Linked DNA regions of Sus scrofa. The protein of the gene in region 3 purifies or fractionates together with the protein of the main gene of each other region. This does not show direct contact. Links are inferred from orthologs where the notes say so. Each region holds a gene or a part of one and is shown on either strand. Other genes may lie near its edges.

What was found.
Region 1: the proteins of CLK2 (region 3) and PSME3 purify together in Homo sapiens (affinity purification with mass spectrometry; 3 studies listed by BioGRID and IntAct, with this or other methods). This does not show direct contact. The link is inferred for Sus scrofa from reciprocal best matches to the Homo sapiens genes CLK2 and PSME3.
Region 2: the proteins of CLK2 (region 3) and ACIN1 purify together in Homo sapiens (affinity purification with mass spectrometry; 3 studies listed by BioGRID and IntAct, counting the BioPlex papers as one, with this or other methods). This does not show direct contact. The link is inferred for Sus scrofa from reciprocal best matches to the Homo sapiens genes CLK2 and ACIN1.

The regions. Positions count from the first base shown.
Region 1 is NC_010454.4:20,029,678-20,032,473, reverse strand, and holds the end of PSME3 (proteasome activator complex subunit 3), read left to right. Parts: intron 1-558; coding exon 559-671; intron 672-903; coding exon 904-972; intron 973-1,118; coding exon 1,119-1,186; intron 1,187-1,285; coding exon 1,286-1,340; intron 1,341-1,459; coding exon 1,460-1,546; intron 1,547-2,144; coding exon 2,145-2,225; 3' UTR 2,226-2,277; downstream 2,278-2,796. UniProt on the Homo sapiens protein: Subunit of the 11S REG-gamma (also called PA28-gamma) proteasome regulator, a doughnut-shaped homoheptamer which associates with the proteasome. 11S REG-gamma activates the trypsin-like catalytic subunit of the proteasome but inhibits the chymotrypsin-like and postglutamyl-preferring (PGPH) subunits.
Region 2 is NC_010449.5:75,978,682-75,982,327, forward strand, and holds part of ACIN1 (apoptotic chromatin condensation inducer in the nucleus), read left to right. Parts: intron 1-672; coding exon 673-814; exon of another isoform or gene 815-3,646.
Region 3 is NC_010446.5:94,556,873-94,561,157, forward strand, and holds the start of CLK2 (dual specificity protein kinase CLK2), read left to right. Parts: upstream 1-1,412; 5' UTR 1,413-1,755; exon of another isoform or gene 1,756-3,233; intron 3,234-3,288; exon of another isoform or gene 3,289-3,589; intron 3,590-4,285. Other genes in the region: HCN3 (potassium/sodium hyperpolarization-activated cyclic nucleotide-gated channel 3), read right to left, coding at 691-974. UniProt on the Homo sapiens protein: Dual specificity kinase acting on both serine/threonine and tyrosine-containing substrates. Phosphorylates serine- and arginine-rich (SR) proteins of the spliceosomal complex.

The DNA.
Region 1 (2,796 bases), on a different chromosome or scaffold from region 3:
CATGGGTCCTAGTTGGATTGTTTCCACTGTGCCAGGACTGGAACTCCGTAATTTTCCATTTAACAGGGAGGGTTGGACTTAATGTGAACTACCAAGGGAGAGGTTGGAGGTGGCTACACATCACAGATTTTTCGCAAAACCCCAGTTCATATCATTTTTTCCTCTTCAATAATGCTTGGTGCGTTAAGTCTGTAGAGCATATTTTAATCTTGTTCTTTAGACTTTCCGGATGTTTTAGACACTCATCTGTTAATCCCCATATTCTCTCTTTTTTTAATTCTGTTGGTGGTGTCACGGTTTATAGATAGCTTTGTGACAGATAAAAGGCAGAAGTCATAAGCTTTTCCTTGTGGCGCAGTGGGTTAAGGATCCGGTATTGTCACTGTTGTGGCTCAGGTCGCTACTGTGGAGCCCAGGATCTTCCACATGCCACAGGCATGGCCAGGAACAAAGGTAGAGGTCATAGTATCTCACGGGTCTAGGAAAGAGAGAAAGGTGGGGAATGCTGCCTCCTTCCACCCAGCTCCAGTCATTTGACCTTCCTCGTGTCCTTGCCAGGAACCAAGGTGTTTGTGATGCCCAATGGGATGCTAAAAAGCAACCAGCAGCTGGTGGACATTATTGAGAAAGTGAAGCCTGAGATTCGGCTGCTGATCGAGAAATGCAACACGGTGAGGCAGGGGCTGATGACCTAGGGGCTGACCCCAAATAGCCTGGCTTGAGCTATGCAAGACAATGGATGTGGGGCCAGAGGCGTGGAGGTGATGTTGGAGTTGGCAGACTAATTATCTTGACTCCTGTGCTCCTGGCATCTGGCCCCAGCAGCATGAGTTGTATATGTCTTGGCTTAAGTAGAAAAGGCTAAGATCCTCATATGCATATTTTGGTCCCCTCACCCTTCAGGTCAAAATGTGGGTACAACTCCTGATTCCTAGGATAGAAGATGGGAACAACTTTGGGGTGTCCATTCAGGTAATGTGCTTGCATTGGAAATGGGAGAGGAAGGTTTGGGAGGTAATCTCATCTCCCCTGCTTTTGTGTTTTCCCTTTCTCTTTGGTTTGCTGTGGGGTGATGTGGAAGTGGCTTTTAACCTTTTTGTTTTGTTTTTTTTTTTCAGGAAGAGACAGTTGCAGAATTAAGAACTGTTGAGAGTGAAGCAGCTTCTTATCTGGACCAGATTTCTAGGTAGGGCTGCTTGGACTTGGCCCAGGAATTGAGGGCTGGTGAGATGGCATGCGCTGTCTGGGGTCCCCTGCAGCTTTCTCCTCTTCTCTCTCCTTCCAGATATTATATTACAAGAGCCAAATTGGTTTCTAAAATAGCTAAATACCCCCATGTGGTAAGTAAGGGTTTGTGGCCGAGGGTGGAAGTGGTAGGACAGGGAGGCATGCCTTCCTGGGAAGAGCTGCGTGGGACAGTCAGCCCTCGAGGACTAGCCTTTTCTCTGCCCTTCGTCAGGAGGACTATCGGCGCACCGTGACAGAGATTGATGAGAAAGAATATATCAGCCTTCGGCTCATCATATCAGAGCTAAGGAATCAGTATGTAAGTAACCTTGGTCCCCGCCCACAGGTGCTCTGGCTTCTCTTGGTTCTGGTGATCGTTTTCTTGCCACTCTCTGGGGGTTGAGATGAGAGATGGAGGTAAAATGAGTGGAACAAATTCCTCCCATCAACCGGGTGTTGAGAACTCTGGGGTCACTGACGGTATCTAGCCGGGTATCCTTTCTTTGTACCTGGCTGGGAGGGAGCACGATATGCAGTACAGTATAGGGGTGAAGCTGGGGGTGTGAGAGTCAGCCTTGGGTTTGGAACCAATTCTGCCTGTAATGTGTGGCCTTGGGCAGGTTTAACCTCAAGCTTCAATTTCTTCATCTCTGACACATTAAAGAACCCGGTGCAATTCTTAGTGTGTTAAATGCTTAGTAAGTGTTAGTTATTGGACACTTGGGGCCTTGGAGATACCCAGGTGTGCCCAGTTGGGGGAATAAGAGAGGTCATAGGGCAGCTACCCTGAATTCAGGTTCAAGCGAGTGAGATCAGGGCTATGTGAACGATTGCTGGGGGCTTTGGGGGTTTGTCTTGTTTCCCTAGGCAGGTGGGGGTAGAACAGACGTGTGATTCCCTGATCCGTCTTCTCCCAGGTCACTCTACATGACATGATCCTGAAAAACATCGAGAAGATCAAACGGCCCCGGAGCAGCAATGCAGAGACACTGTACTGAGGCCAGGGCCAGGGCCAGGGGACTCTGTGAGTCTGGCTCAAGACCGACATTGCCTTGGTTTGTTACATGACTATCGTGATGGGGAAACTGGCTGGAAATAGTAATCACACCTCTCTCTGTTTTTAGTTAGAGTCTAATGAAACTCTCATGTAGTTCTGTGACGTGTTTACCTCTTTTTTCAGGCCTCAGGAACTCTTCTATTTCCTTCCCTCATACCCCAGACCCCCGTCCTAATTTCTGGAGTACTCCAGGTTTGTGTGCGCAGGATGTTGGCACAAGTTTACTTGTGTTTTCTCTCCCCACTTCCCTTCTGTGTCTTGGGCTTTATGTTTTCTTCCCTTTGATGTTCAGTTGGTTAGAAGTTGAGGGAACTTGAAGGAAAGTGCTAGGTATTTTGTAGGAACTGGGGCTGGATGGGGGAACCAGCTTCTCTCTTCCTGATGGCAGGTTAGTATCTCTTGCCTCTGTGGGACATTGGATCCTCCCTGCCACAGTTGCCCTGGTGATGACTTAGGGTTTCCCATCCACATACATGACACCTTGAACCTGATCACGACAAGAAACACCTTAG
Region 2 (3,646 bases), on a different chromosome or scaffold from region 3:
TGGTTCTTTGAGCTTTCATACTATGTCCGGCAGTTTTCATTTTTCCTTTTGGATTAGAGAGGGTCCTTGTTGAAGCTTACCCCCTCACCAGCCCTGCTCTCCCTGCAGCCCTGCCCCCACCATTTCTCCATTCCTGGTGTGTCCAGATCCCGTTGGTCAGCAGACTTTACTTACTAAGCAGTTGATTAAACACAAGGTTGGGATCATTTGCCACAGCCCTCGTTGTTCTTTCTCGTCTTTTTAAGGAATCGGACTTCCCTTAGTTTCTCATGCAATTTGGTTAAATAAAGGTGCCTGTGGCCAAGGGCTAGGGAGGCCCTGGGGTTGTGGGCAAATCACAGTCACTTCTGAGGGACTGTTTTCGGAGAGATGTGTCTCTCCTCTTCATATAAGGGTACTCTGGCGAATTACCTCAGAACAGTTGGAGTCCCAACCCCACATGCCACAGCTTTATCCCATCTGGGCAGTGAGTGGATGTGGTTGCTGTGATCTGTGCTCTTTCCCTGAGGAAGATGGGGGCAAGGTCTCTAGTCTGATCTGAAAAGCAGCCCTCCCAATCCCACCCAAGTGATGAGGCATGGGAGTTTCCTTGACCTAAAACCTAACGTCTTGTTCTCTCTTCCCCTTGGTTCTTTCCTGCCCTTCCCTCTCAACCTCACCCCATACTGACAGTGAGGAGAAGGAGGAAGTGACCATGGACACAAGTGAAAACAGACCTGAAAATGAGGTTCCAGAGCCCCCCATGCCTATTGCAGACCAAGTCAGCAATGATGACCGCCCAGAGGGCAGTGCAGAGGATGAGGAGAAGAAAGAGGTAAATATTCAAGCCACCTGCTCGGGTGGGTGGGCAGGAGTGGACCTGGGGGAAAGAGTAGACCACTCTGGTGATCCCTCTTACACAGTGGGATAGCTTAAAGAAGGGACTAGGCAAAGACTTGGATCAGGATAGGGCCAAGGGAGAATTCGCTGGTTTAGTAAGGGAGACCCCTTGTGATGGGGACAGGGCTCATTCATTCCCCTTTCCTTGTTGGGAAAGTAATGCAGTGCAGAGTCTTGGAAGTTTGTAATCACTGGGAAAGTTATCTAAAACCCTTTATCTAAAACCCAGGCTCAGCTTTCCCTGCCACCTTTTCTAGCTTCTCCCTGTGTTAACCCCTTTAGCTTTCCCTCCTTTTTAAAAGTGTGTTGGAGCTCAACGCCATCTAGTGGGCTTTGGTGGTTCTCAGCTGACCACCATGCTGAGGAATTTTTGTTCCTCATCTGCCCCCCAGTGGTCTCGTTGCAGAGATGTAGCTACTTAGAAGCCACCACCTGAAGGCCCCTTCCCCATTTTTGTGACCCCTCTACTTTTTGGCGTATGTAGTGTGTCCTGCACCCAATTCAGGGGACTCCCCCCGTCAGAGCCAGCGAAGTCTTCTTGGCTCTTAAAGTAATTAGAGAATGGATTAGCTGGGTTTGGGAGTAGGGTAACAGGGTGGGAGGGACTGTTGTGTGTGTAGCCTTTCTTTGGTGTGTGTTGCGGGGGTGGGGGCCGGTGAAAGTGATTTGATGTGCAGAATATTATTTATTACAAGGTCCTTCTTCCCCGTAAAACTTTGTCCAAGTACCTCATGTACGGTAATCCGCCCGTAAAATATAACCCTGCCCAACTGGCCAATCGCTGATGCCGCCTCTTCCTCTGGACCCACCCGCTGCTACTGAGCTGCCCAGTCAGAGCTGAGTCTGCTATCCAGGTGTCTTGGCCAGAGGGGGGCATGTGTATGGGATCCTGTGATGGGCCCCCTTTTGCCTCCCTGCCTTGCTTACATCAGGGGGCCAAGAAGAGCACTGTTCTGGAGAGACTTGTATTGAGAAAGCAAAAAGCATTTGGAAAGGGGTGGACTTGCATCATCTCCCTCTTTGGGACACCCCAAGAAGAGCTTGTGTCAGTGCTGGGGCGCCTGCTCATATGCCCTTGCCCTTTTGAGGACTGTGGGTTGCCTTGTTTGCTACAGACTGTTGGGATCCCCATCTAGGGCACCAAGACCTCCTAAAGAGTCAATCTTTGTGATCACAGTGCCATGCTGTAAAATACCGAGTGGGGCTCTCGGCTTAAGCTGTGACGACTAGGAACCCTGCAGAGAAGTCTAGGGTCTGAGCCCAGGGATTTAATGCTGATGACAGCCCAGCCATGTATCACCACTTGCTCATCAGATGGACTTTCCTTTGGTCCCTGTTGTCCATGGTGAAGGGCAGCATGTTGGTTGCTCCAGCTTCTCCTCCATCCCTGGAGGCAGGGGCTCATCCATCCACCTGACTGGAACCACTGTCTCAGCTGGAGTCCCTGAGGAGATGCCACACACCACTCTCAGAAGAAAAGTATTGTGACCTTGCTGCTGAATGTGTGCCAGGTCCTGGGGCTATCCACCTACTACCCCAGGCTGCCTTCAACAGCGGCTCCATGATCCCACTCGGTGAGAGGACCCCCTCCCCAAGTTACAGGCAGAGGAGAAAGGGACTCTGGAGTCATCACCTGGATTCCAAGTATTGGGTGGTGGTATTGCTGCAGCTTGCCACTGGTGGACATAGGGTCCTGCCTGCTTCTCACGATAAAAGGCCAGGACCATTCCTGCTACTCAGAGGCCATCTCATCAGGGACTGCAAGATGATGCCCCTACAGGGCCAGGACTGATGTCTCTGCCCCTTTTCCCCCCGTACCCCTCGCTGAGCCTGGCCACCGCCAGTGAACTGTCTTGACATCATGGAAACTGGGCAGCGTCCCCCCACACGTTTCCCTCCCGCCCCCCCTGCGCCCCTGGGAGGACTCTGGCTGTGCCGTGCTGACCACCACGCCGTGCGCCCACCTTTTTTGCCAACCCAACCCCCCACCAATTGCACAGCGCCTAGCAGGGAGGGCTCATTCTGATTGGACCGGCGGTTGACTAGATACAGTACACAGTGAGGTGCGATTGGCTGAACTGAAGATCCCAGGTGTGAGATGGTACCTGGAACATTTGTCATATTCCTAGTTTATTTTCCTCTTTATTTTCTTCTTTCCCTTCTTTTTAAAATCTTTTATTTTAATTTTTTCTTTATCTTTTTTTTCTGATTTCTTTATTGGATTTATTTATTTATTTGGTTCATGTTTTTCCTGTTTTAATTAAAACTTTTTTTTTTTTTTTCTCACTAACTTACCCATCGAGAGCGGCCCAGCTAGGGGTCAGGCTGGCCCTTAACGGAGACCAAGGAGACTTGGTTAGACGACACAAACGGGGCTGGGGGGTGGATGGGAGAAAGGGATTTCATTAAGAGGGTTCCTGCCCTTCCCTTTAGAAGGGTGGTAGGTCTTAGTTTTTCCAGAAATAAGCACTTAAGTCTAAAAATACTTTATTCCTCTTTTTGCTCTGTCTTCCCCTTTTTGCTCTGTCCACAGCCTTTCTCCCACTGAGTATTTGGGGCAGAAACTTGCTCAAAAGCAAGTTTGGAAGATTCTGGTCCTTGGCAGAGTCCCTAAGGCAAAAGCCCTGTTTGGAGAAGAAACAGGCTCTGCTTGAGCTCCATACAGTGGTTGAAAAGTCTGAAACTCCCTGGAGATGGATTACCCTGCATAAAGACCTATCTTTACCAAAGACACCTTTAAATTCTTTCTGCCAGCCCTTGGCTCAGG
Region 3 (4,285 bases):
TGATGTGGAGGTACAGCCTGATGGGGACTGTGGAATAGCCCCACCCCCTCTCTTCGTCCCTTCTCTCTGGTGGTCACCTGGGCGGTGGCCGTGCTCCTGCGTGGCTGCCTCAAATCACTTTTGAGTCTCGGCCCTGCCCGGCCGAATTCCTCCTTCAGCACCAGGGACAGCGATCAGAGCTGTTGTCTGGACACCCCCTCCCCCACCCCCAGCGTCCCTATTTTCCCTGGTCGCCTGCCCTGCTGAACTAGGCAGGTGCTGGGGACGGGAATGGGGTCGGTGGGAGATAGCAGAGTTCGGTTTCTCCCTCAGATTGACCCTGAGCCTTGAAATATGATAAAATTTCCCAGATCCCCAGCAAGCAGGACTGGAGGAGGCAGCGGTCCCTAGTTCCTGTATTCCCTGTGGTCCAGGTGGGGTGCCGGGTTCCTGAAATGGGAAATCCAGGTCTCTGTTAATCTGCTTGTCCCTTCCAGCGCCCCCAGCCTAAGAAGTCAGCCAGGATCTCCAGCTGGGGACCCTTTGCCCAAGAATTCCCGGGCTAGGTTGGGGGAAGTGACTGTCGGCCCCCCAAGGGACCCCTGGGCCGGAAATGAAGTGTCTGTGGAGGGTGGGGCTGGCCCGGCCCCGTGCCCCGGCCCGTGGAGGTAGGACCTGTGTCCCCCGCCCTCCCTGCCGGACCCTCAGTACCGGAAGTCGCTGTAGGGATGGATGATCCAGGCCCCCGCTGACTTGACCCGCTCCTGCTCGATTTCCACTGCTTTGTGGCTGCCGAACACACGAAGGGAGAACTTGTTGACCGTAGGCTGGAGCAGCGTCCCGAGCTGCCTCCTCTTGGGCTCAGGCCCGGGCCCGGACCCAGGGATCGGACCGGAGGCCGTGGTCGTAGACGCCGGGGCAGCAGGAGGCGCCGCCTCCAGTCCAGGGGTCGCCCCGTCGCTGGTCCCAGTCGGCGGCCGCTGCTCCGCCTCCATGACGCCTGTCGGCCTACACGTTTGGCCTCCTATACCCTGCCGCGGCCATTCGGGACCCCCGACCCTTTCCGGAGTCGGAGCGGGAGCAGCCGGGCTGGCTCTGAGCGGAGGCGTAGTCGGCTAGGAACTGCCGGCGCGCCGGCGGAGGGGGTGTGTGCGACAGACTCTGCCGCGGGTGGCAGGGGGGTTGCGCTGCGCCCCCTGGCGAGAGTTGCGGGAAGGCTGGGCAGGGCGGGCGGAGGTGGGGCCACCGAGAGACCTCCCGGGAGGGGGCGGAGCCAATAAAGCCTGTAACCGGAGGGATACCGAGGTGGGTGTGGCTTAGCCAATGTGGGCGGTCCCTCAGGTGCAGGGAGCGTAGGAGAACGCGGCCAGTGCCAAGAGGGCGTGGCCTAGAGCTGCGGTGCCTTTGACCACGGAGTGCCGGGGAGGCGGAGCCGCCTGAGATCCGCGGGAAAACCGGACGCCGGTTGTAGTTCGTATGGCTCCGGAGGGCGAGGAATTGGGAACCAATGGAAGAGGCAGGGATTCTTTGGGGATTCTCCTTCCTAACGCTTACGGACTTCCTGCATTTCACTTTTTTTTTTCTCTCAGCACTCTCCTAGGCATATTCTTAAGGATCTCCTCGTTACTGCTCCCCCGAGTATTTCATTTCTGAATTCATCTGCCACCTTCACCACAAGCAACTCGGCCCATCACTGAGCGACCGCTGAGGATACAAGGATGAATACAAAGCCCTAGCCATAAAGGCACTGCTCGTCTACGCCCGCAAACAGAACAGGTAAATTACAGTAGTATGTGAAGTAAATTCTTCCCTTTATCTCCATTTCTTATTGCCTCCGACTTATTTCAAGCCCTCAGCATTTTTTCACCCAGATTATTTCAGAAGCGTCTAAATAGGTCTCTCAACTCTCAGGCCAATTCTCCTTCCAGAGTTAACTTCCTAAATCTAAATGTAGCTATCTCACTTGCTTAATATCCTTCAAACTTCTTAGTGTTCTATAGGATTACGGTTAAATTCCTTAGAATGACAACACAAGGCCCTGCAAAATTTAGACCTCTCTTTTCAACAACCTCCCTTCTGATAGTCCCTCTCTTGAAAGCCAGGACTCCAATTCTGTTTAAACACTTCATTTTGCTTTGTCTCCAGACTTTTGTAAATACTTTCTCTGCCTAGCACTCTCCTCCAATTCACTTTCCATCCATTGGTTCAGATGTCATCTCCTCTAGGAAACCTAGAAACACATTTATAACTCTCCTTTCCCAAGCTAGGGTTGTAGTCTAGAGCTTTCTTACAGTGGCCAGGGCACCACTGTTCATAACAGCTCTTAGCACAAGGCTGCCATTATTTGTTTACAGGTCTTTCCCATTATACTATGAAGCTCTGAAGAACAGGAGCCTTGAGCCTGGCACAGTGCTGGACAGAGTAGGAACTTAATAAATGCTTTTTGAATGAACGAGGGAAAGTGTACACGGAGAAGGAAGTGAGGTTCACTTTCCTCTCCACCCCTTCATTACCCTTCAGCTTCTATTTCAAGAAACTTTTCCTAAACCATTTCTGGCCAACTGATGAAAAATTCCTTCTGACTATCCTCCACCCTGACTCCTCTCTGTTTCTTTACTTGAATATAGTTATCCTCAGGTTATTTTTCATTTTCCTAATTACTGCTCAATTCCTTCTATAACATCTGTAACTCTACCCAGTTTTTCTCGTCTTCTGCTTTTTTTTTTTAATTCACCAAATTTAGACTTATCATATATTATGTGTAGGTATATAACAAAGTTCTCAAGTGATTTCCCCTTCTTTGGCACCTGAATCTCCACCCCTCCATTTCTCAAACCTTTCCTCCAAAGCCATTACCCCCCTCCCCCATATACAGAACGTGCACCAGCTTTTGTTCAGGACAAAAGATGGGAACCCCTCTTTGCTGTGGTTTGGTAGGCGAACTGTTTCAAAAACAGGCTATGATGGAGACTCACACCTCACCACCAGGCTTCAAAAGGTTTGCGGAGCGATGACATTCCGTAAACCACAACCCCTTCCTTTCAACCTCCAAACCTAACAAAGCAAGCCACATAAGTCCCACGAAAAGGGTCAAAGATTGAGGAAGGATACGGAAGAACACCAGGCGAGGCAGCGCGAGCCCAATAAACCGCTTCCACTCTCTCCCCGCCCCCATGAGCTTCCGCCCCCAGCACCTCCTCGGCTCTCACCGGACAGCAGAGAGCTACGCTAAGACGCGAAGGCGTGCGCGGTCCTGGGGGGCGGAGCCTAGGGGTAGCTGGGAATCGACGCAGGACGTGCGTGCGTGCGTACGTGCTCGCTCGCGGTGGCGGCGGCGGCGGATCGGGGAGGCCAGAGCCGGAGACCGAGCTGGGATCGGGCCCCGGGCGGGGGCGGTGCGAGCGGCGCCAAGCGGATCCTGGGGGCGGGCACGGAGCCGGGGCGGGCGGGACTGGAACGGAGCCCGGGAACGAGGCGGGAGGTCCAGGGTCTCGGGTTGGGGGGGTGGAGCCGCACTTCGTCGCCGCGGGGGTGCCGGGACTCCGGCCGCAGTGCCGCCGCCATCACGGACTTCCTGTGGGACAAGCGCACGGGCCTCGCCGCCAGAACGGTGAGCGCGCGGGCTGGCGGGCCGCGGGGCCGCGCGGAAAGATGGCGACCGCGGGGCGGACGGGGAGAAGATTGGATTGGGGGCAAGGGACCGGGGCGAGCTTGGGGGGTGGGGTGGGGCTGAGACGTGCGAAGTGGCAGAGGTGAGGAGTAGGAAGATGAGGTGGAATGTCGCCCTGTCTTAGATGCATTGGTAAAGACCAATAGGAAAGTTAGGAGGGACCAAAGTAGGAGAAGGGGTGATGGAGTAAAGATAGGAGTGGTTGCAAAGATGAGAAAGAATAGAAATCTCAAAAGTTGGGCCAAAGCTGGAGAGGTTGGAAGACACCACCATGTCACTTGGAGGCTGTGGAAAGAGTTTGACTCTAGGAGTTAGTTCTGGATTTTCTAAGTGAGAAAGAGAGGAAAAGATTAGAAGTGGAGAAAGATTGTAAGCTGGAGATAGTTGGGGGGGAGGGTTGGAAGGAGGAAAGCCTGTGAGGGACTTTGGTGGCACTGTGTATGTAGTGAGATGACATGTGCGTGGCTGTGTTAAGCAAGGTTGGGTTATCGGGGAGAATCTTGTACTTGCGTCTTCTTGGCTTCCTGCAAGCCCTTTTACGCCTGGAATGAATCAAATGCCACCCTTCTCTTCAATTTGAGAAGTAGCTCAGAATGGAAGCCAGATGTTGGAATCATTAAGCCTTTTCCACACCTA